Linked DNA regions of Saccharomyces cerevisiae S288C. The protein of the gene in region 2 binds, or shares a complex with, the protein of the main gene of each other region. Each region holds a gene or a part of one and is shown on either strand. Other genes may lie near its edges.

Region 1 (3,292 bases), on a different chromosome or scaffold from region 2:
ATTTTTTGTTTACTTTCCACTTGGATTTTATCTGTAGGCTTTATCAAGTTCCTGTATGTATGGTTGTGCAAGGCACTCTTCTTCATAAAGGAAAAGATGTGTTGAGATTTGTAAGGCTTTTCATCAGTGTTAGATCTGAGGTGGTGTTCACATTAAATTAATCGACGCAGGATTTGGCGAAAGCTTCTGGCATAATGTTTGGTGTTTGTGGTGTGTGATTTCTTTTTTTGATTTTTTCTTTTGCAGTTGTATTCCCATACATTAAATTGTTCGTGGCACATGAAAAAAAAAAAATAAAATATGAACAGGTCTTTTTTATAGCAGAGTTACGTCGTCTACAGTTGGACAGGCGATTGACTACTAAATTCCCATGGCTATGGATGACGATGATTAATGAAGAAATAGTAGCTCGACAACATTACAAAAAGCATTATTCATAGAGCGCTAGAGCCATGAAAGTTTTCTTGTGATATGAATTATTTTTATTCGTGCTTTATATAAAACAGTTAATTAGGTACATAAGAAAAGTAACATTTTCTTAAAGTTTATTTCTTAGCCTTCTTTTCAGATTTCTTGGCAGCTTCGGTTTGTTCCTTGACAACCTTCTTGACAATTTTTTGTTCTTCGATCAAGAAAGCTCTAATAATTCTTTCCTTAACACAGTTGGCACATCTGGAACCACCGTAAGCTCTGGAAACAGTCTTGTGGGTCTTGGAAACAGTGGCGTATTGTCTTGGTCTCAAAGTAGAGATACCTTGCAAAGCGCTACCACAGTCACCACACTTTGGTCTGGTAGCTAACTTCTTGACATGTTGGGCACGCAAAATACCACCTGGGGTCTTAACAACCTTGATTTTGTTAGAACGGGTGTTGTCTATTTGAAAATGTTTTCAGAAAGTTGGTATACTTTCTCATTTGAAAAATATGTTAGTACGAAATGTTTCAATAGGAAGGAGTTCGAGAAAACTTTAAAAGAAATTTTCGTAACACAGATTGAGATTATTAGCTCTAGTCAGTATCAGGGTTAAAAGTGGCTGCTCTTATTAACTATCGTTTTTCTTCTCATTGCTACTAATATTGTATTATTTCTGGACACAATATTTCGCGCAGAATAAGTTATTGATAGTGGATTACAAAAACGGGGTAAATTGCTTTTGATAACTATACTAGGACCCCTGACATGGTATCCTCTCCTCTCTTGCTCTTTTTTAGTTGAATAATCATCATCTCGTCAGAATTTCTCGTAATTTATAAGTGTGCCTTTAACATACATGGATTTCTTCTTCTGAAAGTAACACGTTGGGCCATCTTTGGTTGTTCTGTTATGCAGTCTACACGTTAATACCGTTTAACACTAAGCGTAATTAATCTATAATATTTCAATTCCTTCTAGATAATATCCTCTGCGCCTAGGCTCACGAAATTACACGGAGGAAGCGTCGACCAGGCGACTCGTTGGTAGGGGACCAAGCGCGAGTAACTACCAGAATCGCCTTGGCTCAGTAGAAAATGACGGCCTAAAGGGAACCTAGCGGGGGAGCGTAGTCGTAAGCGGGAACAGCGAAAGTCAAGCTTCTTTTTTTTTTCACAATATATGGAAAAAAATTTATCACCCATACATACCACTAAATGTGTTATATATTTGAGAACACCTTTACATCCTAATGTTTAATGGAAAAAACAGTCCTCGAAGAGCATCGTATTTGTAGAAGGAACCAAGTAAATTAGTATACAATGTACAATGTACATTCTTCAGATGGGAAGGTGATGAAAGTCATACTTCTATGGGCTTTATATTATAAAGCTAAAAAATACGTAGTAAAATCCTAAGTTCTAAAAGACGCTATTAAGACTTGCCCTTAATCTCTTTCGGCAGCAATGGCTTCCATTTCCATGTCAACGCCTAATGGCAATGCTGCAACAGCAACGCATGATCTGGCAGGTTTGTGAGTATTGAAGTACTTGGCGTAAACGGAGTTAAACTCAGCAAAGTGATTGATATCTGCCAAGAAAATGTTAACTTTTACGACCCTGTCCAATGAGGAATTGCTTGCTTCTAGAACATTCTTAATGTTTTGAATCACCTGTTCAGCCTTATCAGCAATGGAACCTTCAACTAACTTGTTGTCTGGGGTCACTGGAATTTGGCCAGAAAGGAAAATCAAATTGTTCACTTTCATGGCATGGGAGTATGAAGCCGCAGCAGCTGGAGCGGATTCACAAATAACGGGAGTTAGCGTGGTGACCATAATTCTAATGTAATGATGATGTTCGAAGGGTAAATTTTCTTTCGCTTTTTCGTGGAAACCAAATATCAAAGTTGTTCCTTATCATGTATCCGTTTGATAATGAAGTAAATTAGTATTTCTTTTGTAGGTCAGCAGCTCGCGCTATGGAGAAAGGAGTTATAATGAAACCACGTGAGCACGATGAAATAGCAATATGTTACTATTGATTACCGGATTAGAATGGTTAAAATGGTGAAATAAGAAGAATGATTATTGTGTGCTCAGTATCGGTTGAAACCACTAGTTTTGGCGCTTGACTCCACTCGTGAGTCATGTTTGGACTATATATGTGCCTTGAATATATATAAATATATATATTGCTATATGATCCCGCTGTTTCCAAGAGTAGTAATTACTAGACGGCTGTTGGCATATGTCAATGAGAGATTAGTGTACTCTTCGTACCATCAATCCGCCCATAATCTTCTAAGTGATCTTCCGATCGTATCCATCGAACTTTACTAAAGGCTCTTTTCGGGGTTACCCCTAAATTTTCAGTATTTGATTTGTATTAATGTTTAGCATTCAGGTAGTCGTAGTAAACGGACACATTTGACATTCAACGACGGTACACACGGTAGGAGACGTCAATTTCGGCTGAGATGAGTAGGGCTAGCAAGATAACGTTTGCAGCTTCCTGTCTGATAACGGCAGCGACGGTAGTGGGCGTGCATTATGTGCAAGAAATGGAAAGGGAAACTTTGCATCAGGGTCCGATAAAAGATGCTAAACGAGTCGAAGAAAAGAGGTTGAGAAAGACAAACGGAGTTGCATCATTAGATCCCACAAAAGAAAGGAAAAGGTACTTCAATATGAGTGAACACGAGGAACAAAAAGAGTTGCGAAAGAAGTATGAGACCATGCAACCGCTTAGTGGAGAAGTTGTGACCAAAGATGGAGAGGTGGTTAAAGAATCTAAGAAATAAACACCTGTCGGCAGTAGTTTACCTCTCTATTATAGACTACTCTTGTTTGTATATATGTAAGAATCGTGTAATTATTTT
Region 2 (2,641 bases):
AGAAGGCTTTCTGATTTGCAACAATACCACATCTAACCGACCCGACCGGTTTGATTCCGTTAGCATATTTCAAAGAAACGGGCCTTTTAATGATTTAACGACCATATAACTTCAATAACGTGTATGCATATATAAAATGATCATGTCAAACATCCTTTATATTACTTCTTAAATACATGTTTACGATAAAAAATAAAATTTACATTATAAGTTTTTGATTGCCCATATTTGTTGATAAGAATGTAGCCTTACCGTGGCCGGTTTGTTCACCTGTAACCTCTTTGGGGGCGACCGTTAGTACTGCGCGTGTATGCTGGTGCAGGTGGAGCTGTCACAGGCGGTCTGTTATACATTTTACTATTATTTCTGTTTCCATTCACATTTTTGTTGCCACCAACTACTGGAGGTGCAGTATTGGCATTGGAATGTTTCTCATTTTCTTCTTTTTGATGCATGAGCTCCGCTTGCTTTCTTTCCAATGCCCTTTTTCCAACAAAATTGTAAACTATAGCTGCGTTTCTCGTGGAACATGCGTGCAACCATGCAAAAACACTTCCCAGAATAGGAACTAAACTAATAAGTAAATCGATAACGATATTACCATGCATCTTCACCTTGATTTCCGCAGGCAATTTATACCTGTCATCTGCCAATTCAATCAACTTATCATGCACCCAATACATCAATAAGGGTCCTATAACCGGTAGAAGTGCAAGTAATGGTGCCCATCCTATAGTGTTTGTCCAGCAACAGCATCCGCACAGTGATTTGTCATGCAGCCAGGCTTTGTTTTGGACCTTTTTCCACGCTTTACTTTCATCCTTAGTGCAATAATATGGCAGTCTGCGGCGGTGCTTTTTACCATCTTTATTCGTTTCATAAAACGGATCCCTGGTTGGCTGGAAATGCTGTTCTGCGAACTCTTGATATTGATCTTCTAAGTAATCTTGGCCTAGACCAAGCAACGTGCTCTTAATGAACCCTGACATTTGATATGGTTTCCCCCTTATTTTACTTGATGATATTGCTCCCAGCAGATCCAAGATTTATTTTCAAGTGCTCTTGTCTCACGTATACTACGACTTCTATGAAACAAATATATGAGTAGGGAACTGAACAAAAAAGCAAATTCTTCCAATGCTCTCTAGCTCGCAGTCATGTTATGATCTCATAATCACGTCCCATTCCCGGCTTCTACGCATTTTTCCACGTATTAGCGCGATTTAAAAAAAGAAAATAGAAACAAATAGCAATAAACAAAAAGAAAAGTAACGCTATTACATCCACATGTCACAACTACTTTGTGAAGTTGCAATGCGTGATTAGTATTATAAAACATCATAGCCTTGCCAAATAAACTCGCTTCCCAGAAAAGACGCCAAATTAACTGCCGCTGTTATGTGACAAAACAGGGCATCTCACATATTCGCGTACTGGTGTTCTTTTAGCTCATTCCGATATTATTCCAAGACGGAATTTTCATCTAGAGAAAATGCATCCGTGCATTTTCATAAACCCACACAATTAAAATGCCTTGCGAAAAGGAGGACTCGTCCGTGCAACTGTTGAAAAAAATAGACGGAGCATCATACGTTCGAGTGGAAAATTATGGAGAGTTTTCCAAGCTCTATGGCATGTAGAGTCGTGATTGCTGCTGTACGCTTTTGCACAATATTGAATCTTCAATCTAAAGAATTAAATTTTCTAATTTCAATGTAGAAATATTTCAACTGTTAGTTTTTTATTTCAGGTTGAATATAGTACGACAAAATATCAAGGAAAAATGGCTAGAGAAATCACCGACATCAAACAATTTTTGGAATTGACCAGAAGAGCTGACGTTAAGACCGCCACTGTTAAGATTAACAAAAAATTGAACAAGGCCGGTAAGCCATTCAGACAAACCAAGTTCAAGGTTAGAGGCTCTTCTTCTTTGTACACTTTGGTTATCAACGATGCTGGTAAGGCTAAGAAATTGATCCAATCTTTGCCACCAACTTTGAAGGTTAACAGATTATAAGAAAAATAAGGAATGATCGGAGTGTTATCATAACGAGACTGGAACAAAAAAAACTAAGAATACTTTCCCATCCGCATAAAGAATAATATCCATTTGTGTTCGTTATACAGGAAGTAGAAATAGGCTTTATAACTTTTTTTGTTTTTGTTTCCTTTTGTTTTTCTTACTACTCATAAACATATTTTTTAATTTTTAAAGTCATAACGTTGTATAGTTAATAAAAAAAATTGGATTACTATTCATTGAAGAAGAGAGTTCTATACGTTCTTTTTTAAGTTTATTTAAAGGGAGTTACCATTTGTGTAATAAAGTAAATTAGAGATTATATTATGTAAAGGTAAAAACGGGAGCGAGCATCATACGGCCTTCTTGCTATCGCGACCAATGGTTGGATTTGATTGCTCTTTCTCTTCAGTATCATCTAATACTTTTGCCAGTCGATCTCTTGCCCTAGATTTTAAAACTTCTTCATCGGTCGAGGAAATTCTTTCAAACTCGCCTTCGTTGATGTTTGATGCTTCGGCAAATTCTTTTGTCTCTTCTGTTGTAGGCTCTCCTACTTTTTTCGCATTATCTTTCTCTTGCTTGTTGCTCCCAAGCTCTTGCTCAGCGGTTAAACCA

The links. The genes of interacting proteins can lie anywhere in the genome.
Region 1: RPL38 (region 2) and RPL34A share a complex: the UniProt entries of both Saccharomyces cerevisiae proteins name them as parts of the large ribosomal subunit.

Annotation. Positions count from the first base shown.
Region 1 is NC_001137.3:268,878-272,169, forward strand, and holds RPL34A (60S ribosomal protein eL34 RPL34A), read right to left. Parts: upstream 1,309-3,292; coding exon 1,272-1,308; intron 875-1,271; coding exon 546-874; downstream 1-545. Other genes in the region: putative isoleucine biosynthesis protein HMF1, read right to left, coding at 1,860-2,249; PET117 (Pet117p), read left to right, coding at 2,891-3,214. UniProt on the Saccharomyces cerevisiae protein: Component of the ribosome, a large ribonucleoprotein complex responsible for the synthesis of proteins in the cell.
Region 2 is NC_001144.5:780,522-783,162, reverse strand, and holds RPL38 (60S ribosomal protein eL38 RPL38), read left to right. Parts: upstream 1-1,783; coding exon 1,784-2,020; downstream 2,021-2,641. Other genes in the region: TMA10 (Tma10p), read left to right, coding at 1-36; YLR326W (uncharacterized protein), read right to left, coding at 267-989; PEX30 (peroxisome biogenesis protein), read right to left, coding at 2,377-2,641. UniProt on the Saccharomyces cerevisiae protein: Component of the ribosome, a large ribonucleoprotein complex responsible for the synthesis of proteins in the cell.